Linked DNA regions of Ovis aries. The protein of the gene in region 6 purifies or fractionates together with the protein of the main gene of each other region. This does not show direct contact. Links are inferred from orthologs where the notes say so. Each region holds a gene or a part of one and is shown on either strand. Other genes may lie near its edges. The genes, in order: SETD1A, WDR82, BOD1, SETD1B, BOD1L1 and CXXC1.

What was found.
Region 1: the proteins of CXXC1 (region 6) and SETD1A purify together in Homo sapiens (affinity purification with western blotting; 16 studies listed by BioGRID and IntAct, counting the BioPlex papers as one, with this or other methods). This does not show direct contact. The link is inferred for Ovis aries from reciprocal best matches to the Homo sapiens genes CXXC1 and SETD1A.
Region 2: the proteins of CXXC1 (region 6) and WDR82 purify together in Homo sapiens (affinity purification with western blotting; 7 studies listed by BioGRID and IntAct, with this or other methods). This does not show direct contact. The link is inferred for Ovis aries from reciprocal best matches to the Homo sapiens genes CXXC1 and WDR82.
Region 3: the proteins of CXXC1 (region 6) and BOD1 purify together in Homo sapiens (affinity purification with mass spectrometry; 4 studies listed by BioGRID and IntAct, counting the BioPlex papers as one, with this or other methods). This does not show direct contact. The link is inferred for Ovis aries from reciprocal best matches to the Homo sapiens genes CXXC1 and BOD1.
Region 4: the proteins of CXXC1 (region 6) and SETD1B purify together in Homo sapiens (affinity purification with mass spectrometry; 11 studies listed by BioGRID and IntAct, counting the BioPlex papers as one, with this or other methods). This does not show direct contact. The link is inferred for Ovis aries from reciprocal best matches to the Homo sapiens genes CXXC1 and SETD1B.
Region 5: the proteins of CXXC1 (region 6) and BOD1L1 purify together in Homo sapiens (affinity purification with mass spectrometry; 5 studies listed by BioGRID and IntAct, counting the BioPlex papers as one, with this or other methods). This does not show direct contact. The link is inferred for Ovis aries from reciprocal best matches to the Homo sapiens genes CXXC1 and BOD1L1.

What each region holds. Positions count from the first base shown.
Region 1 is NC_056077.1:27,608,646-27,612,820, reverse strand, and holds the start of SETD1A (histone-lysine N-methyltransferase SETD1A), read right to left. Parts: upstream 2,801-4,175; 5' UTR 2,166-2,800; exon of another isoform or gene 1,958-2,165; intron 1,900-1,957; exon of another isoform or gene 1,710-1,899; intron 1,376-1,709; 5' UTR 1,361-1,375; coding exon 1,211-1,360; intron 1,009-1,210; coding exon 913-1,008; intron 1-912. UniProt on the Homo sapiens protein: Histone methyltransferase that catalyzes methyl group transfer from S-adenosyl-L-methionine to the epsilon-amino group of 'Lys-4' of histone H3 (H3K4) via a non-processive mechanism.
Region 2 is NC_056072.1:48,700,823-48,705,104, forward strand, and holds the start of WDR82 (WD repeat-containing protein 82), read left to right. Parts: upstream 1-1,482; 5' UTR 1,483-1,774; coding exon 1,775-1,935; intron 1,936-4,282. UniProt on the Homo sapiens protein: Regulatory component of the SET1/COMPASS complex implicated in the tethering of this complex to transcriptional start sites of active genes.
Region 3 is NC_056069.1:5,498,082-5,502,197, forward strand, and holds the start of BOD1 (biorientation of chromosomes in cell division protein 1), read right to left. Parts: upstream 2,801-4,116; 5' UTR 2,595-2,800; coding exon 2,358-2,594; intron 1-2,357. UniProt on the Homo sapiens protein: Required for proper chromosome biorientation through the detection or correction of syntelic attachments in mitotic spindles.
Region 4 is NC_056070.1:53,527,458-53,531,405, forward strand, and holds the start of SETD1B (histone-lysine N-methyltransferase SETD1B), read right to left. Parts: upstream 2,801-3,948; 5' UTR 2,561-2,800; intron 2,421-2,560; exon of another isoform or gene 2,181-2,420; intron 2,069-2,180; 5' UTR 2,055-2,068; coding exon 1,881-2,054; intron 1,643-1,880; coding exon 1,544-1,642; intron 894-1,543; coding exon 623-893; intron 1-622. UniProt on the Homo sapiens protein: Histone methyltransferase that catalyzes methyl group transfer from S-adenosyl-L-methionine to the epsilon-amino group of 'Lys-4' of histone H3 (H3K4) via a non-processive mechanism.
Region 5 is NC_056059.1:109,481,492-109,484,991, reverse strand, and holds part of BOD1L1 (biorientation of chromosomes in cell division protein 1-like 1), read left to right. Parts: intron 1-2,705; coding exon 2,706-2,830; intron 2,831-3,500. UniProt on the Homo sapiens protein: Component of the fork protection machinery required to protect stalled/damaged replication forks from uncontrolled DNA2-dependent resection.
Region 6 is NC_056076.1:50,262,677-50,266,624, reverse strand, and holds the start of CXXC1 (CXXC-type zinc finger protein 1), read left to right. Parts: upstream 1-1,148; 5' UTR 1,149-1,247; coding exon 1,248-1,250; intron 1,251-2,067; coding exon 2,068-2,186; intron 2,187-2,288; coding exon 2,289-2,389; intron 2,390-2,646; coding exon 2,647-2,882; intron 2,883-2,971; coding exon 2,972-3,178; intron 3,179-3,564; coding exon 3,565-3,591; intron 3,592-3,667; coding exon 3,668-3,913; intron 3,914-3,948. UniProt on the Homo sapiens protein: Transcriptional activator that exhibits a unique DNA binding specificity for CpG unmethylated motifs with a preference for CpGG.

The DNA.
Region 1 (4,175 bases), on a different chromosome or scaffold from region 6:
CAGAAACAGAAAAATTAATGTAAAAAAAAAAGAGAGATGTGTTTAGAAAAAGAGTCAGCACAACTTGGTGACAGATTAAGGACAGAAGAATCATAGGATGACACCCAGGTTTCTAGCTTGTGCAGCTGAGTACGTGGTGTTGCCATTCATCAGCAAAAGGAAAATGGAAAGAAAAGCAGGACAAAGGGGGTGAAGATAATTGTTTTACATCTCCTGAGGTTGAGATTTCTGTGGGGCCTCCAGATGGAGCTGTCCCTCCACCAGGCAAATAAGTCTGGAGTTTCAAGAGATCTGGACGCCATCAACACTTCAGTAATAGTCAAAGTTGTGGATGGGAAAGACATTGTCCAGGAAAAGTATACAATGTGAAAGAGGGAAGCGGGAACCCCACAAGTGACTTATTAAAAAGGAAGAATAGAGTTCACAAAGGAGATTAAGAACCACCAGTTTTCTAGACCCAGTGTTCCAAGGACTGATGAGTATCCCGCCTGGACAGAGACATGGGAATCCTCTGAGGAAAAATCACAGAGTAAGAGAGAGGAATAGAGGACTCCAGGGATGAAGTCCCTGGCACTGTCACTCCCCTTAACTGAGAAATTGGGGTAGCACACAGGGTACTATTTTGCTATGCACAGTCTAGAAGTACACAGTGATAGGTGTAGCAGATGGACCTGTCTTCACCCTTCAAAAAGTTAACACCCTTTTTGAAACACCTAACATATACCTCTCCAGAAAATAAACACACCTCCTGTCCACAACAACTCAGTCTCAGCCTCAGAGATTATTAGATCTGTTTTAGACTCTTTCACTAGGAAAACCCCCTTTCCCTATGCTACATTAAGACTAGACTACCAGGATGGAGCCTCCACACCCTCCAAGGGCCACCACACCAGGAGACTAGCAGAAACGTACCTTAAACTTAGGGACTGGGAGGGAAAAGTCTCTGTTTTTGGACCTGACGTGGCAACGGGGGTCTTGGAGGTCTTCCACTGGTATATACTTTGAGTCCTAGGAAAATAATCAGGAACAGAGAGACAGCTCAAGGTGAAACCACAGTGTTGATCTCTAGAGCCCCTCTGGAGATCCACGAGCAGAAGAGCTGGGTTCTGGCTGCCCACTTTAAAGAAGGCAGGTTCTAGGTTATGAGCAGAGGTAACAGAGGAGATCAGGTTTGAGTTCCCTAGATCTGGGGAAGGCCTGGGACACTCACGTTGACACTAAAGTGGATTCCATCGTATCTGTACACCTTTTGAGAAGGCCTGCGTAGGGCAGGGTCCAAGGCAGGATCCACGATGAGCTTGTAGTTCCGCCACTGGAAGCTCGGGGCCTTCTGCCCATCTCCCCCACCTTCCTGATCCATCTTTGCTCATTTACACTGCGAGGAAAGAGGGATGAGCAAAGGGGTTCACGACTTAGGCCCAACTCCCTTGCTGCCCCTCACTGACTAGCCCCGACTCCAGGTAACTCTCATCACCTCAGTTTCCATACCTCACTCACCATGACCCGAGACTCCCCCAGATTTTCTCCCAAGTACCTTCTTTCACCATAACACCCCATCCTCTCTCCACCTCCCAACTCTCCCCTCTGGCCCCCAGGCCCATCTCGCGCCCCCTTACCTTCCCGTTCTCCCTAGCGCGCGCCCCACTTGGCCTCGGCGCAAGACCCCTCCCCCGCCCCCTGGCAGGCCCCGCCCCCTCCCGCCTCCTCACCGGCCAGCGGCCCAGGCCAAGCCCGGCTCCCGCTCCCACACACCGCTCCCGTCCCCGCGCCCCGATCCTCTGGCCAAGAAGTGGCACCTCTTCGGGGCGTTGGAAACACCGCGAGACCGAGCCCGAGACCCGGCTTCGGCCCTGAATCCGGGCGGGGGGTGGGGGAAACGCGCGCCGCTGCCCTCTCCTCCCGCCCCGGCGCGTTCTGCCCCCCCATCTCCGCGCACGCGCGGCGCGGCCCCACTCACCCGCTCGCGGCGAGCGGCTCCCCCTCCCCCCACCCCGCGCGGCACCTCAGCGGCGCGAGGCGGCGGCGGCGGCGGCGGCGACAGCGCGAGACCCGGCCCCGCAGCGGTGGCGGCGGCGGCGCCCCCCCACCACCACCTCCCCGGCGCGCGCACCAAACACCACCGCCACCTGCGCGAGGCCCAGCGGGCACAGCTTCTATATTCGCACTTTCGCCACGGGCGACTCCGGGAGACCCACGGGGCCGAGGATAGCGGCTTCGCCTCGGTCGGCGGCCTATGAAGCTCAAGAGTTGCGGCCCATTGAGCCTGGAGTTTGGCCGCATCCCCCGGAGAATGGACTTCACCGCGACTATCCAGCTGCTCTGGCCTGGGACCCTTGACGAATCGGCGGCGTTGAAAGCAGCGACTAATCCCAGAGGAAAAGGGGGCGGAGCGAAGGGGAGGAGGCCAGCCAGAGCTGGGGAGATTTGAGTGGCGCGTTGAACAGGCGCAGATTCGTCAGGCGGGCGGGGCGAATCGGTAGACGAGATGCGCGCTCCTTTTCTCCTCTTTCCTGCCCCTTCCTTAAGCGATCAAAGGTCTGAAAGGCTGCAGATTCGCCACGAGTCTTGGCCTCAGCTGTTGCCTCCCTTCACCAGGCTTGGTGGAGTCAAGAAAATAATGCCTGGTTAGCCAAGCCCTGTTGGCAGAGTCGGCCACTTTTCCTGGATCTTTCTTACTAGCACAACTCAGAGGACTGCTCAGTTCCGACCTGGGGGAAATGGTTACGGAGTCCGATGAGAATTTTCAGCCGAGTATGGAGGGGCCCGAGAAATTCGGAGGAGGAGCCGGCCTAGCGAATCTGCGAATTATTTAGTGGGTGGAGCCAAGGCTCCGCGCACAGAGGGCGTGGTCAGCGTGCGGAGCCCGGCGTCTTCGGGGCGCTTCCTGTAGGACCCTCGGAAACCCGGGCGGGCTGGGAGGGGCGCCCAGGAGATGGAAAAATACCACCAACAACGGTGACTCAGGCTGTTTGGCGCCTCACGTAATGCAAGGAAAGTTTTCCTCCCATTATCCTCTTTGGGCAGTTTTTTAAGATGCCCATTTGACAGATGGGGGACACTGAGGCCCTCAGAGGGTGCCCCACTTTGCCTGTACTGACCCGCCATTAGTGATTAAATCTTAGTCTGTATCAAAGTTATGCGATAAGGGTGGGTCCTAAAGGATCTTGAACCGGTCCTGTAAAAAACGATAAATTAGGTAGTACGTGAACTAGGGTGGGCTGGTCGATTTCCCAGATTATCATGGTCCCAGTGCCCGCCGTTTTCAGTAACCGTTTTGTGCCGTTTTGTGCAACCCTCTGCCCCGCCTGCCTTACTCAGTCCCGCCGCTCGAGGGCAGCACCAGCCCAGGCTTAAACCTGAGACTTGGGCTGAGGTCGCCCTGATGCTCAGCACCCTTTTTCTTAGTAAGCTTAGACGCAGGTATCTTGGTCTCAGGGTAATGGCACTGCCAGGCACTGTCAGAGCTGAGGGGATGCCCTAAGTTCCAGACTTTTTGATGTATGACCTTGGGCAAGTCACTAACTTCAAAAAGCTTTAGATTCTTCCTCGGAAAATAGATGTTAATTACTGTTATGCAGAACTATTGTAGGCATTAAAACTGCAGGAAAGGCCCCTGAGGCCTGGTTCATGTAAATTCACACTTTTAAGGAACAGGAAAAGCGATTTGTCCAAAATCTCAACACCAAAAGAACCCTTCTGGGAGAGGCTTAGGACCCTTAACAAATTTAAGGAAAATGAGGCTGAAGAAATAAATTTACAATGGAAACAGGGATAATGAAATCAGATTCTTTCTCTGGTCCTAGTTGAAAGATACTCCTTTTCTCAAGCGAAAGATTCCCCTTGTGATAGTAAAGGTGGTTCAAGTTTTCCCTGACTGGGTGTGTGGCTTTCGGAAAGATCCTCAACCTTCTTAGGTTGAGGCTTCCTTATCTCTGAAATAGTAGTCATAAAGACTTGTCTCTTGAGGTGATTGTTAAATCAGTTAAATAAGCTAAATAAGGTGACCTATGAGAAGCCCCTAGTATGTAGTAGTTACTCAAGAAAGAAACTTACACTAAAAGAAACTTAATGTTGTTCAGTTGCTAAGTCTTGTCCAACTCTGCAACCCCATGGACTCCAGCATGCCATGCTTCCCTCTCCTTCACTATCTCCTGGAGTTTGCTCAAATTCATATC
Region 2 (4,282 bases), on a different chromosome or scaffold from region 6:
TTCAGTCTCCCAGTTGTGTCCGACTCTTTGCGACCCCATGAATTGTAGCATGCCAGGCCTCCCTGTCCATCACCAACTCCCGGAGTTCACTCAAACTCTTATCCATCGAGTCGGTGACGCCATCCAGCCATCTCATCCTCTGTCGTCCCCTTCTCCTCCTGCCCCCAATCCCTCCCAGCATCAGAGTTTTTTCCAATGAGTCAACTCTTTGCATGAGGTGGCCAAAGTACTGGAGTTTCAGCTTTAGCATCATTCCTTCCAAAGAACACCCAGGACTGATCTCCTTCAGAATGGACTGGTTGGATCTCCTTGCAGTCCAAGGGACTCTCAAGAGTCTTCTCTAACACCACAGTTCAAAAGCATCAATTCTTCGGCGCTCAGCTTTCTTCACAGTCCAACTTTCATATCCATACATGACCACTGGAAAAACCATAGCCTTGACTAGACGGACCTTTGTTGGCAAAGTAATGTCTCTGCTTTTGAATATGCTATCTAGGTTGGTCATAACTTTCCTTCCAAGGAGTTGGCCTCAATAGCTATGGTTCCCAGGCTCTAGAGCATAGGCCACTCTGCAGCATGTGACATCCTCCCAAACTAGGGATCGAACCTGTGTCTCCTGCACTAGTAGACAGATTCTTTACTACTGAGCCACCAGGGAAGCCCTACAACGCTTTCAAAGAAGGCTTAAAGAAAAGTTGTGGGTGGTAGTCACAAGAAGGTACAACCAAATGAAAAGAAAATTCATCCACTTAAAATTTATGCAATCTAATGTAGGCTGCTGCTAAGTCACTTCAGTCGTGTCTGACTCTGTGCGACCTCATAGACGGCAGCCCACCAGGCTCCCCCGTCCCTGGGATTCTCCAGGCAGAACACTGGAGTGGGTTGCCATTTCCTTCTTCAGTGCATGAAAGTGAAAACTCAAAGGGAAGTCGCTCAGTCGTGTCCGACCCTTGGCATGGACTGCAGCCTACCAGGTTCCTCCATCCATGGGATTTTCCAGGCAAGAGTACTGGAGCGGGGTGCCACTGCCTTCTCCATCTAACGTATAGTACACCTTAATAAAAAAAATACAGAAATTGAAATCTGGCTCTGTCTGTTGCGGACCAACGGTCAAAAGCCACCAGCGTTGACTCACACCCAGAACAGGCCTCCTGGGGCGTAGCCCACCTCCGCAGTACCTGCTGTCCCTGGGCCTGCGGCCGGGGTTCCTGCAGGGGGCGCCTGAGTCTCTTAGCGGTGGCGAGCCCGCACACAGGCCTGAGGCTCCGGGTCACGCGGGGCCTTGGAATCCAAGGGGTAAGGACGTGGGAGTCCCTTCCCCTCCCGCCCCCGCAGCAGGTCTGGGAATTGCCTCTTGGGGCCACCCAGCCACGCCACTCCCTGCCGGCAGCGCTGACGTCACCGCCCCGCCTCCTCGCCTCGCGCCGCCGTTACCGCCCCGCCCCTTTTCCCGGCTGGCTCCGCGGTGAGGTTCCTCGCCCTGGGCTTCTGCCTGTCGTCCCAAGATGGCGGACACAATGAGCCGGCGTCGCGCCGGTTGGCCCTGAGGCGACCGTGAGGCTGAACGGTCGGCAAGGCCCCACAGTCCGGGCAGAAGAGTGTTGCTTAAGCAGGAGGAGAAAGAGGAGGAGGCGTCCCGACTGCCGGCCGCTCTCCCGCCCGCCGCCGGCGCGGCGCCCGCCCCGCCCCGGTCGGCCCCTCGGCAGCCCGCCCGTTCCCCGGGCCCCGCCCTGGCCCTGCGCCGCCGCCGCCGCCGCCTCAGGCAGCCGCCGCCATGAAGCTGACCGACAGCGTGCTGCGAAGCTTCCGCGTCGCCAAGGTGTTCCGCGAAAACTCTGACAAGATCAACTGCTTCGACTTCAGCCCCAACGGCGAGACGGTCATCTCCAGCAGCGACGACGACTCCATCGTGCTCTATGACTGCCAGGAGGGCAAGTGAGTGCGGCGGTGGCCTTGGGCCCGGGTCTGAGTCCCGCCCGCCCTCCGCGTCGTGGCCCTGCGCTCGCCCCGCGGCCCGCTCTCTGCCCGGGCCCGGCCCCGCGGCCTGTTTTGCACACGGTCCTGCCAGGGCCGCGTCCCCTCCGAAGCCGTCTGGGAGACCGTTTTTTTCTTAATAACGATGGCGATAACAATAGTCTTGTCTTCCTTCGGTCTCCTTTTAGACCGTTTTTGCATCTCTGGCCAAACCCCACCTTGACCTTGACCTTTAAACGCCGGGTCCGCCCACCGCGGCCCCAGCTGGTAGCTTTTCCGTTAGGCGGGCTTCGTCCTCGGTGCCCGTCGGCTGTGGCCCCCTTGCAGAACCGCGGAGGCTGCTCGGCTGCCTCATTCAGCAGAGGCAGCTCCCTCTGCCCTCTGCTCGGTGACCTCGATTCAGTCCTGGCCCATCGCCGGTCCCCTGCCCCTCAGCTTCCCGCCGTGTTTTTGCCGGAAGGCCGCGTGGGTTGCAGTTGTTACCTGTCAGGATTGATTTGTTGTGCCTCTTTGGGCCCCTTGTCTTTTCCTTTCTGTTGCAAATCATTCTCTTCCTCCCTCAGTCCCGGTTCCTACGTTTATAGTTAACTTTTTAACAGCATCTGAAACTTTTCCTTTTTGCCAGACACGGACGAACCTGGCCGTCCCATCCCGACCTGAATGTGAACCTCCTAATAGAACAAAGAAAATATCATGTAACAATTTCGTGTTTCTTCTTAGGCTTGTTTTTTAAAATTACACCTTACAGTCGATTAGGACTTAACCACAGTTCTAAGTCTGATCATGACATTTCTAGGTTGTCCCAAGTCCTCTGGAGACCCAACACATCTGTATCTCTGCAGAATCTTAAAAGCACAGCATTTTGCCAGTTCCCCCCTTTTATCCCTTTTTCCTCAGCTCTGCCCCAGACTTGCTTTCTTCATGTCCCTGCTAAATTGTGAGCTCCTTTTTGAATCCTTGGATTTTTCTTTACCTTCTCCAGCTGTTCCTTTTGTCCGTTTTGTTTAAACTGATGTCTTCTATAAACTTTCTTTCAGAACTTGTCTCTTCATTTCTGAATTTGGTCATTTGAGGTAATGGTCTGAACTCTATTGTTCTCCCCAATTTTTTCCTGTTTGGACTGTGAAAAAGTATTATGTAACTGGCTTTGGATCTGCCTGCAGTATGTGGAAGAGTGGCCTATAGTGGTGGTCCTGGGGGAAGAGAATTGTTAGCTGGACCAATGCTGAGTGGTGATGTGAGTCAATGTTATTCATTTCTGTCCAAGTCTGGCCACTTGCATTAACGTGGATTAGAGTCATGTATAAAGCTAGGGTGGAGATAGAGGTTGTGGGGTCCTGGAGCTGGAAGAAATTTTTAAGCTGATTTGCTTGAAATGCTTAGTGCTTGTGCACAGATTAGAACCTCTTCCTGGAACTTGAGGATGGAGGTGTGTATCTTCATTCAAAGAAAATGAAAATCATGGAAGCATTTCTTCAAAGTTTGTCTCCAAATATGGCATAATTTCCACCCCTTAGTAGAAATGACATTAACTGGAAGTCCTTCTTGTTATAAGTAAAATATTAATTTTATGACATAATTCAGTTCATTCATTCATGTAGCATTTTTACATAATTACAAACTTGGCAGAAAAGTTACACCATTGTTTACAAGAACTCCCAGGATCCAATAATTAGTTATGTTTTGCTCTGTTTTGTCATTTCTATGTAAATGTTTATATTTACATATGTATATGTATATATATGTGTGTGTGTGTATGTATATACAGGTGTGTGTGTGTATATATATATATATATGCATTTTTTTCCCTGAACCATTAGATAGTAATATAGAGGTATCAAGCCCCTTTATCCTAAACACTTCAACATGGATATCCTAAGCACAAGGACTTTTTCTTATGTAACCAGATTACAGTTATCCAAATTAGAGATGTAATATTGACACAGTAGTATATAGCACATTCTTTAAAAGATTCTCATGTGAATTGTGACCTTGTTTCACCGTGATCTGTGATAAGAGAGTGATCTGATAGACTGGGTTCTAGTTTGGCTTTGTGACTCGGTATGTGACATTGGTCAGATCTCTTCTCTAGCCTCAAGGAGTCCATGATCCTAAGTGATAACATGAAGAAAAAAATTTGCCACTAGTGTAGGTCAAACCAACATTGGAAGAAAAGTAAGATTTCCTTGGAAAGCAGTATCTGTATTAGATGGTACTAATGTTGGGAGTTTGAAAATAGCTAAAACAAAATTCTTTGTGCTTAATATTTTCTCTGTTTACTGTTCATTGACACTTTCTTTATAATGGA
Region 3 (4,116 bases), on a different chromosome or scaffold from region 6:
CACAGCTTGGACCTAAGCCCAGGTTGCCTATAGCTGAGCCACCAAGTCTATCCAGACCAGCTGAACTTTAGCTGACTTGCAGTCCCATCAGCATGCAAACAAATGCTTATTATAAGCCACGAAGATTTGGTTTACTATACAGCGTTACTCTAGAAAAAGTCTGTTAACAGTCAGGTGCATGACACTGACAAAGGAATCAAGAGGCCTCAGTTCTGTGAGCCGGCTCTTCCCAAAGGCCAAGACTCACAAACAAAGACTCTCCACCAAACCCGAAAAGAGAAAGGCAGGGAGGCGGATGAGGACCACAATTCACAGCTCCCCATGTACTATCCACCTAGCGAGTCCTTCTTCCTGGTAATTGCCTTCCCTTTCTCACAAGGATAGGGCAGTGGGCGCCACATTCTCCTGGCCACAGGGGTGGCTTCCTGAACCACGTTTAGACGATGCGTGTGTTTTCTGGGATTTTTTTTTTTTCCTTTAACTGGAGCCATTTTGAGAGGAAGAAGCTGTAAGATGTAACCGAATGGATGACTCTGCTCTGCAGTGACATGGGTTAGATAGCCCTGGTGGAGAATTCTTGGTTCCAAATGCAGCCCTACCCTTCTGGCAGTTTTTTAAATTTTACCCTTCCTTAGATTCCCACAAGTCAATAGATTTGCTCACAGGAGTTAGATTTGTCACTCCTAACCATCAATCCTGACGCTGTCTCTTTTACTATTCAAAATGATTCACCCAGTTTTAGGTAGGACTGGTTACTGAAAAGGACAAAGGACAGCTAACGTCACCAACCAAACTCTAACCTTAACAGACCCTGACAATATAGCAAAACCCCTTCGGTTCATGAAGTGAAAGATCTACAGTGCCTGTCACTAACGCTTTATTACACTATCACTTTCCCTTAACCTATCAATCTATTCTATTTATTTATATTTTGGATGCATTGCAAAGTAAATTACAAACATCAGCAGTACACATTCCGTTCCACACATCTGCAGTCTGGGGTGGAGCCTAACAATATGCAAATCTAACAAGTTCTTAGGTGATGCTGATGATCCAAGGACCACGCTGTGAGAACGGTGGGACTAAAGCAACAAAGGATGTGCCTGGAGACACACTACCTCAAGAGCTAAAGCAACCTGGTGACAACCAGAAAGAACATCTAAGGGGGTGTTAAGTGGTGAAGGCTCTGATTCCCTCTACCCCAACAGATTCTCAATACCGACTAAAACAAATGTATACCGCATGGGTTAAGCCACATAAAACCTAGTGAGACATAAGAAAACATAGTGGAGAACTTGCGATGGGAAGCTGAGAGCACCCAGGACTGGAAAATGTGAAAGTTCTGTCAATACATACGTTAAAAAAGAAAAATTAAGTAATTCATTCCAAGGAGAGAACTGCTCCATGCGTTTTTTAATCTTGGAGAATAACAGTATACTTACTATACATATTGTCTGGTCTACACTTCAGTTTTCTACACCAGAATACACACTTTGAGGACAGGATAGTGACATGCTTGACCCTGTGTCCAGAAACCTCACCAATAAATGTTTAATGGATAACCTATCTTTAAGGCCTAGTTTTAAGCTCACAATCTTCCTGTGAGGTAGGCAAAAGATTTCCATGTTGGGCTCAGAGAGGAGAAATCACTTCCCAAGCGGAGCCCATTCAGTAAGAGAGCCTCCTATATCTACAACCACAGTCTTGTGAGAGAAACTTCTGAAAAAGGAGTAAAAAAAAAAAAAACATTTCAGCGACTACTCTTTGACACTTAACACCAGTGACTTCACTGAACACAAATGAATCTAGGCAAGGTCAAGTGAAACAGTATTAGCCGGTTGACCTGTGGCATTAGGATCTAACAGAATCTTTCAGCCAGTGATGAAATACAAAATAAGGGTGCCGGTTCTACGAAAATGTACCTTAATTAACTGCATACTCAAGCCTGCAAATCACTGAGCTAGAGAAAAGGAAGAAAGGCTGATGTTTGTGCATTCATACCATTCCTGCTTACTTACCCGGTTTTCTCCGGTGTTCTTAACATACTGAGATTTGTTACTGTTGTGCTTAAAGGAGTCTCATCTTGGGAAATACAGGGTCGAGGCTGTAAAACCGGTACTGGGTCCCCAAGTTTAGAGTGCCGTTGGGCTAAGCCGCACAGAGCAAGGATGGGGCGGGGAGCCGAACCCACGTGGACATCCCTCAGAAAGCTTCCTATACTGCCCCAAGCGGTCTCCTCGCTGCTGAGATTTGAAAAGCACCTTTTGTTTTTCTCTCGTATTTGGAAATGCGAAGCTGCAGCCCTAGCAGCCTCACGCCCAGCCTGCCCTCCATGAGCCCAAGCCGCCTCCGCTGACCTTGGTGTCCACGTCGGCCAGGCAGTCCCGGCGGAAGCTGTCAAATAGACCCCGGCTCTTGAGTTGCTCCACGATGAGCGCGATGAGCTGCGGGTCGCCCGGGGGCAGTGAGGCCGGGTTGATGGGGCCGCCGCCCCCGCCGGCCCCGCCGCCGCCCGCCGCCGCCCCCGCCGAGGCCGGGCCCGCGCCGCCGCCGCCCACCGCGCCGGTGCCCCCTCCGCCCCCGCCGTCAGCCATGGCTGCGCGCCGGGCCCGCCAAGGGGCCCGAGTAAGGCTTCCTCTCAAGAACAGAGGGCCTAGGTCGTGGAGAGGTGGCGGAGGGGCCTGAAAAGGAGAAGGCGGCGGCGGCGGCGGGGACGCAGGAGGAAGGCGCGGCGCCGGCCTCCCCAGCGGCCGCAGCAGTCTCTCAGGTAGCCGAGCTGCTGCCGGAGGCGGCGGAAACCGCCCGCCGCGTCCCGGACGCTCTACGGATGACGTCACCGCCGATCTTTGCATTGTGGGGCGGGAGGTCTTCCGGCAGGCAGCTCCCGCTCTCTTATAAGCAGAGGTCTGGCGGATGGAAACTACATCTCCCGGCAGGCTCCGGGCTCGCGTCTCCAGTTGCGGGAAAGAATGGGACTTGTAGGCGTAGGCCCTAGTTATTGCTGCAGCGTGGGCTGGCCTTCCTCGCCCTCACCCGGTACTGCCCCCTTGCTCTAAATCTGCTCATTCCCAGAGTACCTGATTATAAGAATCGTCTGCTAGGCTTGATTGAATGCATAGATTAACAGGTTTGTCCCTTAGAGCTTCTGATTCAGTATTTCGAGGTCGTGGCCTCGGAATCCGTGATTTTAATGTATATTCCCACGCCCTTGAGCAACAAATATCATCTGGGAAATGTGGTAAGCAGTGGACTAGTCACATTTCTTTTATTCAAACATTGTGGGTTTTATTTCCCCTTCTGATTTTAGTAGAAATACATACTTATTTTAGAAAATTGAAAAATAACAGAAAATTTTGCTGTAAAAAAGTTCCCTGATTTTGTGTGTGTGTGTGTGTGTGTGTGTGTGTGTGTGTGTATTTCTTTCCGGATAGTTTTTTTTTTTTTTGTCTTGCTTGGTCTGACTCTTTGCAACACCCAGGGACTGTGGCTTGCCAGACTCCTCTCTCCATGGAATTTTCCAGGCAAGAGTACTGGAGTGGGTTGCTATTTCCTTCTCCAGGGGATCTTTGCCACTCAGGGAACAGAACTCTCATTTCCTGTGTCCCCTGCTTTGGCAGGTGGATTCTTGACTACTGAGCCACCTGGGAAGCCTATAATAATAATAAATGAATGTTGAGTAATTGGAATATTACAGGCATGATACCAAGTACTTTACATACACTACCTCACAATCTAAAGAGCAGTTATTATCACTATTTTGCAGATCCAAAAATGGAGGCACAGAGTTTGTTACCCTGATCACCTAGCTAAAGGTGGAAGAGGAGGGGCTGAAGTCAGGTCTCCTAAATCCAAATCTTGGCCACGTTTAATCTAAGGTGTACTACATTTTATGAGCTGCTGCTGCTGCTGCTGCTGCTAAGTCGCTTCAGTCGTGTCCAACTCTGTGCGACCCCATAGACGGCAGCCCACTAGGCTCCTCTGTCCCTGGGATTCTCCAGGCAAGAATACTGGAGTGGGTTGCCATTTCCTTCTCCAATGCATGAAAGAAAAAAGTGAAAGTGAATTCACTCAGTCCTGTCCGACTCTTAGCGACCCCATGGACTGCAGCCCACCAGG
Region 4 (3,948 bases), on a different chromosome or scaffold from region 6:
GAGAGAGGAGGGAAGACACAGTGTCAACCCTTGAACACCCAGAGCAGCCCGCCCAGCTCTATCGGGAACATTATCAATGAAACCACACTCCGGGCCCAGATTGGTTCCCACTTCCAGGGGGAGGGGGCGGCAAGAGGGGGAGGGGCACTCCCCAACCCCTTAGGAGGACTTTTTTAGTGGAGAGACGTACTCTTTGCACATTTAAAGGCGGCCTCGTGGCTCTCCTCAGCGCCGCCCCCCCCCCCATAAACAAACCCTGTCTCCTCTCCTAACAGACAGCAACACTGGGGACTGCCTAAACCCAGGCCACCAGGGCTCCGAGAGGGGCCCACGGGGGTGTCAGCAGTAGGGAAGCCTCCAGGTGGTCCCTAGGGGTGCAGTGGCCAAGGACCGGCACATTTGGTAAATTACAGTTCCGTCTCCTAGCAACAGACAACACATTTAGCTCCACGTGACTCTACCCTCAAGAGGGGGGCAAAAGAAAAATAAGGTTTTAGGGGGGTACCCAAGGAAAACTGAGGGGCTCCCCAACATGCAAGACGGTCCCTGGGAGAGAAGGCAGTCACACTGACAGGTCTTGGGGCTCCTCGGCGGTGGCTGTCCTGAGCGGGCCTCCACTCACCTTTGGTGTCCAGCTCCACGTGGATGATATTACCCATGACCGAAGTGCTATGCAAGTGCTGAACGGCCTCCTTGGCTCCCCTGACCGTGGCAAAGACCACTTTGGCAATGCCCAAGTGCTTCTTGGTCTTGGGGTTGTACAAAATCTCCACCTCCTCCACCTCCCCATACTTCTTGCACATGTCCCTTAGGAAGTTTTCACGGATGTTATCATTCAGCTTGGCAAATGTCACCTGCTTCGGAGGCACCGGGCCCACATAGAACTCATCGATCTGGCAGGGGACGAGGGGGAAGGGAGTTTGGAGAACATTGAAACCGAAGGGAAAACAGAACATTTCCCACTCGCCCGCTCTTTGAAAACAATGAAGGGCAAAAAAATTTTTTAAAAAATTGGTGGGGGGGTGCGGGGGGAAAAAGCACGCGGGCGGGCCCGGGAAGCGGAGGATTAAATCGTTTGGAACGTGGAAGTTCTCTGGGTTCGAAAGGAAAGGGGAAAAAGAAACAGTTTCTCTTTCCCCACACCCCCCCCCCCAACTCTGGCCTCCTCTCCCTGCTGCCTGGGCAGGGACGACCCCTCCGGCTAGGAAGCTGTCCCCCTAAAGCCACAAAGCCGGGAAGGGGGGCGGGTCCCAGGGCCGAGCTCCTGGGCTGGCAGGAGCCAGGTGGGTACTCGGAGCCCCCAGCTGGGCGGGCAGGACACTGTATCAGCTCCTTGATTACAGTTTCACCGAGTGTTATTCTGTTTACAGTAGCCGAGAGGGGACATCCCCTCTCTCTGCAACCTCCCCCTCCCCGCCAAAAGTTCCCTAGCCCCTGGACGGCGGGAACTCAGAATCCGGCTGGGCTTGGTCAGGACTGGCGTTATTTTCGAACTCGGGGAGTAGGGGGGGAGGGGCGCGGGATACAGGGGAGGAGGTCCTACCTTGAATTTGGGGACCGACAGCTCCAGCTCCTTGTTTTTTGTCCAGATGCCGACCACCCGGGGATCTTCGACAATTTCCACCGGGCGGTTGCTGGACATCTGTGGAGAAGAAAGGGGGGCGGAGTGGGTGGGCTGGTCTCACTCCCCAGGGTCAGGGACAGGAACCCCCCTTCTCCAGGCACTTGTCAAACTCCAGGACTGGGGACCTGGCTGACAGTTGGCCGGATGGTCAGGAAGGGGGGGTTCCCCAGGCCGCTCGGACCACTCAGCCCCCACCCTCTTCGGCATGGCTTGCGGGGTGCGGGGGGGCCGACAGGGAGGCGCGCCGGCTACTCACCGCAAGGCTGAAATGCTGCCCATCGTAGCGGTACAGTTTATGATGCCCCTTTTTCAAAGCCGGGTCAATCATCAACTTGTAACTTCTCCAATGGTGGTTCCTCCTCTCGCCCGAAGGGCCGGGCTGCGGCGGGGGCTGCTGGTGGTGGTGGTGGGGGGGGTGACTGTTCTCCATGCCGTTAACCCAACCTGAAAACGAGCAAGTTGTTGTCGTCTCCGCCGCGGCGGCGGCGGCGGCGGCCGCTTCTACACACACGCTAAAGAATCACATCGTCCAGCCCCCCACCCCCTCCCACCTTACCAGCGCGCCCTAAAAGGAGCTGGCTCCCCCCAAAAATAAGAATGGAGCGAGAGAATAACCCTTCCGGAGAATTAGGCGCCCGCCCGCTCGGCCACCGTCTCGGAGCGGCTGCGAGGGGCTCCCGGGGGCCCCTGGTGCGGACTGGCGGGGCCCGGGGCACCCGGAGGACGCGGGCTCCGGCCCATGGTGCCCGCCCGGCCGCCCGGCCGCCCGGCGTGGCGCTAGCTCGCTCGCTCGCTCGGCCCGGCTCGGGCGCGGGGCTCGCGGCAGGCCTGGCGCCGCCCGCCCGCTCGCTCGGTCGGCCGGAGCGGGGGCCGGGGCTGGGGGCTCGGGACGCTCGGCTGCCGGCCGCGGCCTCTCCCTCCCCGAGCCGCGCTTACATCCCCGCCGGGCGCCGGCCTCCCTGCGCCGCCAGCCAGTACATGGTGTCCCCCGCGGGAGCCGAGGCCGGAGCGGCCGGACGGGGGGCCGGGAGGGGGGAGCGCCGCCGCCGCCGCGGCTGCCGGGCCCGGAGCTGCTGCCGCCGCCGCCGCTGCTGCTGCTGCTGCTGCTGCTGCCCGGGAGGCGGCTGGCGGCGGAGGCTCGGCTCCCAGTAGCCGCACATCCCACAATACACCGCTAAGGAGCCCGACCCGAGCGCTCACCCTCCTCCTCTTCCTCCTCCTCCTCCTCTTCCTCCTCCCCTCTCCTTCCTCGCCGCTTCCCCAGGCACTCTCCCGGCGGCGGCAGCTGCGCCGCCAAAGCCCCGGGCCCCAGCGGCCCCCCACCCCTCACTCGCGCGCTCCCACACTGCCTCCCCCCTCCCCAGGGGAAGGCCTTTTAATTTATTTATTCTGCTGGGACTTAGGTTGGGGGCTTGGCGGCGGGGGAGGGGGGGGTCTCCCCGGGCTCTACCTCCCGCGGCTGGGGCTACCCTCCGAGCCGCGGCCGCCGCGGCTTGCGCCTCGGGCCTCCAAAACTGTTTCCAAACTGCCAAGACCGGAGGTGGGCGCGTGGGGGCCCAAGGGAAAGGGCTGGTTTTGGGGTGTGTGTATGATTGTGTGTTTAGACGCCTGGAGCCGTGAGGGGCGGCAAGGCGGCCCCCAGACGAGTTGCAATCGAGGTATCTCGGCTACGGCTTCCTCTTCTGCCCCGCGACCCCCTCCCCCCGGAGCTGAGTTGGGGAGGGGAAACCAGGATTTTAACCAAATTAGCATTTACATTCCTGGGAGGAAGCAGCCCTGGCCTGGACCTGGGTGATAGAAGCTTCTTTCTGTTTTTATTTTTGGAGAGGAGTGCCCTTGTAATTGTCGTGAACACATGCTTCTCCCTCCGCACCCCCCTCCTTTCCTCCAGCCACCGGCGGAGGAACGATTCCCCCTTTTTTGCATTTATCTTTCCTTCCCCTTTCTTTATTAAAGGTCCGGGAGTGGCGGCGGCCAATCAGCGCGCGGCTTCCATTTTGTGAGTTCAACTCCGAGGCTCTCGGGCTTCGCGAGGACGCGTTTGCAGCCCCCTCTGCCTCTCCTGTCTGGCGGCCGAGGAGAGGGAGCCGCCTCGCTGGGGTTTCGTGGTAGTGTATTTCATATTGGGGCTCTTTTCGGGGTTTGTAATTTGGCCGTGGGTAGGTAATTGGCTGGAGCAGGGCGGCCGGGCGCGGCAGCCAATCAGCGCGCGGCTTCTATAGGGCTTGAGTTATTAGACGCTGATCTCAAAACATCCTTCATCAGACACCAAGGAGAGGCCAACAGATGAGGGGAGCCATTTTTCTGCAATGGAATTAAATGGC
Region 5 (3,500 bases), on a different chromosome or scaffold from region 6:
ACTTTAGAAGATCGGCACGAGCTGCACTGTGGAAAACAGACTTCAGACAGCAAGGGTAGACTAGATGCAGGCCAGTGTACAGCTGTAATCTGGGCAGGAAAAGAGGATGCTCTGGACAGGGGTGATAGCAGTGGAGGGGATGGGAGGTGCTCAGGTTCTGGCTGTATTCTGAGGCTAATGCCGGCGGGATTTGCTGCTGTTTCGGGTGAGGGGTGGAAGAGAAGGAGTCTTGACGATGTGAAGGCTTTTGGCCAGGAGCTTATTGGAAAAGACTCTGATGCTGGGAGGGATTGGGGGCAGGAGGAAAAGGGGATGACAGAGGATGAGACGGCTGGATGGCATCACCGACTCGATGGACGTGAGTTTGAGTGAACTCTGGGAGTTGGTGATGGACAGGGAGGCCTGGCGAGCTGCAGTTCATGGGGTCGCAAAGAGTCGGACACGACTGAGCGACTGAACTGAACTGAACTGGACTGGAAAAAGGAGATAGCTCTCCCCAGAAGAGTAATGGAGCCCAAAATATTATCGCAGTCACTAGGCTTTTTTACCTAAACGAGAACTTAGAAACCAAGAAATTTAACTTTTATAGTTGAAGTTGAAGGTTGTTTTATAAGCAAGTAGAGTGCTAAATACACTGTGACATTTGAGCCTAATGTTTCTGAGGTTTGGGAATATTGGGAAGAATAATTGTGTTTTAGAATCATTGGGGAGAAAATTAGTTTTGTTTATATGAATTTTGGATAAATGGAGAGGAACATGAGAAATGATCATGAGACTAGTTTTGGTCAGATGGAATATTTGTTGTTCAGTCACTTAAGTTGTGTCCAACTCTTTGCGACCCCTTGGATTACAGCTCGCCAGGCTTCCCTGTCCTCCGCTATCTCCCAGAGTTTGCTCAAATTCATGTCCATTGAGTCGGTGATGCTATCTAACCATCTCATCCTCTGCCACCCCCTTCTCCTTTGCCTTTAATTGTTCCCAGCTAAATATAGGTATAGAATAGAGGATAGAATATAAAGGATAGAACATAGGTATTAGCAAAATTCTGGTAATTGGAAGGGGTAAAGGGGTGTCACAGAGGGATAAAATCTTTCTCATCTCCATTACCTAGATGGTTACCCAGTCATCTCATCTGATAACTGTTTTTTACTTGCTTATCTGCCTAGCAGTGTGAAGACAAAGACTAAAAGAGTGAGAGAAGGCTTACACTTCAGTAAGGAGATAAATATGCCCCCCTCCCTAAAATACAGTACAACACAAGAATTACTTGAATGAGCGTGTCGGTGCATGGGCGAAGGGCCGTGGAAGTCTACCTTGGGAGTCAGGACGGCTTTACGGGTTAGGTGAGCCCTGAAGGCAAGGAATTTGCCAGATGGACAGGGAAAAGGAGTGGTAGGTGTACACGATTGAAATCATGGGAACTTGTGACTGAAGAGTAAACTTTGAGGGGTTAGGGAGCAAACAGCAGAATCAGAGTTGTACAGTTTTGCTTAAAATCATTCGGGAATACTCCGACTTATCTACATTAAAAGTCACATAAAAGATGTAAAGAGCACACGTGGTGGGGACAGCTTGTAGGAAGGAAGCGTGCAGTCAGACAGTCCTTCCAGGCAGCATAGAAATGGCCTGTTAGCGTGGGTCCTCTCTCCTGCTTCTTAAGTATCAGTAGTGCTCAGCTTTAGCACAGCTGACATCTTGGGCTGGATAGGCCTTTGTTGGGGGGGACTGTCCTGTGCGTGGTAGGATGCCACTGGCAACTCCCCTCAGCAATGACAATCAGAGATGTCTCCAGGCATTGCCAGCGGTCACCTGGGTAGGGGTGGGGTGGGGGGAGGCAAAATTGCTTCCAGTTAGGAACCAGTGCCTTATATCTAATAACACCTGGTTCCAGCGATTGTCCCTTCTCAGTTTCTCTTGGATCCATGCCTTTCAGCCCATTTTTGCCACTCCAGTACAGATTTTCATTCTTCTAGTTATTGCCTGCTTTCCTGCAAATATCTTGAGTCTATTTACTCTCTCGCCGTAGGAATATCAGGTCAACTATCACATATCATGCTGCTCATATGTGCTGTGGGTTCCCATTCTCTCTCGCATAATTCCAGGCTTCATATATGAGTCCCCAAGTTCTTCTAAACCCTGGTTCCAGGTTATGTTTCCAATCTCATTTGTCTGTTTTTGTTTTCTCTCCTCCAACAAAATTGCATTTGATGGTTTGGGGGCTCCCTAACTCTCCTGACTCCGTGTTTTCTCATCCACCTGCTCTTACATTGCTCGCTGTACCTGTGCAGCCCACCTTTCCTTGTCCCAGCTGTGTTGTGAAACTTTGAAGGTCTAACTGGGGTGCCCTATTCTCAATGAAGGCTCACTTCCTGTCTGCTGTTCTCCATTTCTTCACTCCAAATCATCTAACAGTAACACTTCTTGGTATCTCATCTTCTAGTCTCTTGTCTGTAATTAGCTATATCTGTCTCTGCATTCATCTGTAAACATTTTGTTTTAGATCAGTGGTCTTTGAATGTCTTGTATTATCCTGAAGCAGAAGGATAATACAAGGTCGTCAAACTATGAAACTTTGTTGCCACATTGATGCCGCGAGAAATGTTAACACTGCTAAAGATACTCAGATTCCTGAGACTATGGATATTAGTGTTGATATTGTGTAACAGTGAGGTTTTCAACATTGATATCTTTTTCTTTCTCTCTAGCCTGCCTATCAGAATCTGAGACAGCGTGTTGACAACTTTGTTGCAAACCACTTAGCAACTCATACATGGAGTCCCCACCTCAACAAGAACCAGCTTAGAAACAACATTCGCCAGCAAGTGCTCAAGTAAGTCTCAGAACTGCAGAGTTCCGAGGAAGGCTTGAGAATGTCAGTGTGCCTTGCCTGAAAGCAGAGACATTTGCAGAAGTTTGTTCACCTTGTGATAATTTTGTCAGGTCTTGTGTGGCTGCTTCATACAATGAAACAGTGTAATTTTAGAGTGGACTCTAAATCGCTTCACATTTCCCTCATAAATTTGACAGTCTGATTGTTCCTATAGACCTTTGGAAATAGTGAAGGAGTGACTATGTGACTTCAGAAAAAGCCCTCTAGATCTGATGTGAATGGATGGCAAATGCCAGGTTGGTCAGGGTGTCCTATACAGTTACATTTACAGTTACTTTTTTGGTCCTGAAAGAGTAGGCTTTATTATTCCTGGTTTACAAATAAAGACATTAAAGATGACTGAAATTGAAACATTTTCTCCTGATTTGAGACAGTGTCTTCTATGTTCTAATACAACTGCTTGCTTTTTTTTCTTTTTCTTTTTCCTGGCTGAGTGTGGCTTGTAAGATCTTAGTTACCCTGTCAGCGATTGAACCTGGCTCTAGCAGTGAAAGCGCTGAGTCCTAACCCCTGGACCACCAGGGACTTTCCTGGTTTGTGTTTGTTTTGTTTTTGTTTTTAATTTTCCTGTGATTTTGCCTGTGGGTTTCAGTGATGATATAACCAGAAA
Region 6 (3,948 bases):
GTAGAAAAATATGGGAAACTCCTGTAAGTTAATAATTACTGGAGAAAGCAGGTTTGCTTAACCACAAAAGGGAGGCGTTTCTCCCTATCGGAAAGTGGGCATTCTTTAATCACAGTGGTTAGCACAAATGTACAACGTGTACTTGCTGCTACTGCTAAGTCGCTTCAGTCGTGTCCGACTCTGTGCGACCCCATGGACGGCAGCCCACCAGGCTCCCCGGTCCCTGGGATTCTCCAGGCAAGAACACTGGAGTGGGTTGCCATTTCCTTCTCCACTGCATGAAAGTGAAAAGTGAAATTGAAGTCGCTCAATCGTGTCCGACCCTCAGCGACCCCATGGACTACAGCCTACCAGGGTCCTCCGCCCATGGCATTTTCCAGGCAAGAGTACTGGAGTGGGGTGCCATTGCCTTCTCCACAGCGTGTACTTGACAGATCATAAATCAGGCTGTTCCAGTTTTACATAACGTTTAGGCCAAATGAGATATAAGCCTGACTGGGCTTCCCCTGCCCCTAATAGGCAAAAATTACCTGTCAGAGGTAATGTGGGACGCATAACGAAGGGGCTGCTTTCCTTCCCAGCATAAGGCACACAGTATACGGACGTCCATTAGTAGACGCGGAAAAACGACTGAAGAGTGGAAAGAGCTACTATCTTAGGAACACTTAGCTACTATTTTAGGAACACTAAAAGAGGATCCCCGTCCCTACAGACATCTAGGCAATACCAGCTACCGGCGCCAGAATCCACCGGCAAGATGGCGGCGCCCTCTCGGTGGCCGATTAGGACGCTGCTACTGAGCGTACGATTCCAAAATGGCGGCGTCAGCATGGAAGTCGCGCAGTAGGCGCGACCATATTGCCTAAACTTAGCGGCCGTACAGGTAGTGACTGTACGGACTAGCCCAGCCAACAAGATGGCGGCGCCTTTGGTAAAGCTGAACTATAGGCGCCGCCCTGTTTCCCGAGAACACTTGAGAGCACACGAGCTCGGCGGCCGTACGGTGTCTGTAGTCAAGATGGAGGCACCTTGGAGACAGTCAGAGCTCTAGCCGGGAGACACCAACTTGCGTGTCGCGGAACCGACGCACTGGGCCTGCGCAGTAGGAGTATGGTGCCTGGGAGGCACCAGGAAAAGCGGAAGTGCTTGTGGGCGCCTTTGCAACGGCCGCGGACGCCGCCGAGTGGTCTGTGCAGGTTCGCGGGTCACTGGCGGGGTTCGCGAACGGGTGCGTCGGGAGCCAAGAGATGGTAAGTGCGCGGTCCCAGGAGGGAGTCGGCGGTTAGAGGTCAGTGAGGTAGGAAATGGTGGAGTCCATTGGCAGGCTCGTGGGGGTCTGTGGTGATCCATAACCAGGGACTGTGGGCAGAATGGGGGAGGGGGAGGGTCTGTTGTGAGCCTTAACCCGGGTCCCTGGGTGGAATGACGGGGGTCTGATGGTCCGAATTTTTGCTCGTGGGGGAACCATCGGGGAGTTCTCTGATGAGCCATCATGGGGGTCTGTAATGGAAGTTTAGCGGGGATCCCTGATGGCAGTGCCTTCAGGGTCCCGATGGGGGATTCTTTGTGCAGAGTGGTGGGGAGGTTTTCGAAGAGTTGTGTTGGGGCAGTCTGGAGGGAGCCGTGATGAGTCCGTATCAGGGAACCAGGGGGGCGGGGCCGCCCGTGAAGTCGATCACTCCAGAACCTGAAGGGCACCGTGGTGGGAAGTCTGCCGAATGAATAAAGTGGTACCTATGAGAGCCTGTGATGGGGGGTCCATGCAGAGCCATGACGGGGGCAAAATGTGGCGAGTGGCGGGGTGTTTGCAGCGAGCCATTATGTGAGTGGGTGCCTAGTGATGGGGTGTCAGTGGGGTAAGTGATTGGAAAGTCTGAGACAGTGAATAAGCCGATAACGGAGGTGTCACGGGTGAGCGATGGGGAGTGGTCTATGGGGACCACGACGGAGAGATTTAATGAGGAGCCATGGTGGGAAGTCTGCACTGGGAGACCTGAGATGTGTGGTGAGCCGTGATGGGGCTGTACTAGTCGGATGAGGTGCCATGATGGGGGGCGGGTCCCACAGGAGGGCGACGCTTCAGATCCAGAGCCTCCAGACGCCGGGGAGGACAGCAAGTCCGAGAACGGGGAGAATGCGCCCATCTACTGCATCTGCCGCAAACCAGACATCAACTGCTTCATGATGTGAGCCCAGGAGAGGCGGGCGGGACGGACACCTGGCTAGGTGGGGTGAGGCCGGTGGGTCCCGCCCCTCACATCTCCTATCACTCGCCCCGTGCTCCACAGCGGGTGTGACAACTGCAATGAATGGTTTCACGGGGACTGCATCCGGATCACTGAGAAGATGGCCAAGGCCATCCGGGAGTGGTACTGTCGTGAGTGCCGAGGTGAGGGGCAGGCAGCTGGGGCTTCGAGGGAGGAAGAGGAGACTTCATGGGAGGGTGGGTCATGGGGAGCAGTGGATGGGCGGCTGTGGGCGGAGTGACTGCGGGTTGGTGCCCTGTGAGCTGTGATAGAAGGGGCAGCTCTGCCCTGGAGTAGGGAGACAGAGCCTGTGGGTGGGCCAGAGGAGGAAGAAAGAGTTCTGGGGCCCCTCCAGGCCCCCCCATAACAACCCCCACTGGCCTTGCCCTCTGCCCCACAGAGAAGGACCCCAAGCTGGAGATCCGATATCGGCATAAGAAGTCGCGGGAGCGAGACAGCTCCGAGCGAGACGGCAGTGAGCCCCGGGATGAGGGTGGAGGGCGCAAGAGGCCTGCCCCGGATCCGGACCTGCAGCGCAGGGCAGGGGCAGGGACAGGGGTTGGGACCATGCTTGCTCGGGGATCTGCTTCGCCCCACAAATCCTCTCCACAGCCCCTGGTGGCCACGCCCAGCCAGGTGAGTGGCAGTGATGGCTGGGATTAGTGAGGGGCTCCCCTGGGAGGCCCTGCTTGGTCCCTGAGTTCTGTTCTGGGCCCCTCCGTCAGCATCACCAGCAGCAGCAGCAGCAGCAGCAGCAGCAACAGCAGCAGCAGCAGGTCAAACGATCAGCCCGCATGTGTGGCGAGTGCGAGGCCTGCCGGCGCACGGAGGACTGTGGTCACTGTGACTTCTGCCGAGACATGAAGAAGTTTGGGGGCCCCAACAAGATCCGGCAGAAGTGCCGGCTGCGTCAGTGCCAGCTTCGGGCCCGGGTGAGCATGGGCAGAGCTGGGCGAGGTCAGGTGGGGGTCCAGCTGTCCAGGAAGAGCCGCCGGAAGCTAGGCGGGGTGGGATCTAACCGCATTCAGACAGGTGGCGAGCGGCCTGTCCTGTCGAAATGAGCGGGGTGTGACCAGATGTGCCGGGCTGGCAGGGGAACCTCCAGCTCCAGGTGGACAGGGTAGGGCCAGGCATTTCTAGGTGGTCGGGCCTGGCTGGGACAGGGCTGAATGTGTCCTGCTGATGAGCTGTGGGCAGGCTGGTGTGTCTGGGGAGGTGAGGCAAGGCTGGTGGGTGGGGTCAGGCACTTGGCAGGGCGAGGGCAGGGCCCCCCTCCCTCCACCTGGGGCTGACCTGGGCCTTCCTCCTGCCGGCACAGGAATCGTACAAGTACTTCCCTTCCTCGGTGAGTCCAGCCCCCCAGGGCGGGCGGGGCATGCGGGCCGGGCGGTCAGGGCCAGTCCTGAGATTCTGCCCCGCAGCTCTCGCCGGTGACGCCCTCAGAGTCCCTGCCAAGGCCTCGCCGGCCCCTGCCCACCCAGCCGCAGCCACAGCCGTCGCAGAAGCTGGGGCGCCTCCGAGAGGATGAGGGGGCAGTGGTATCTGCGGCAGTCAAGGAGCCACCGGAGGCTACGGCAACACCCGAGCCACTCTCGGATGAGGACCTCCCACTGGACTCTGAACTGTACCAGGACTTCTGTGCAGGGGCCTTCGATGACCACAGCCTGGTGAGCAGGCAGAGCGTCCCATGGTGGAAGGGTCA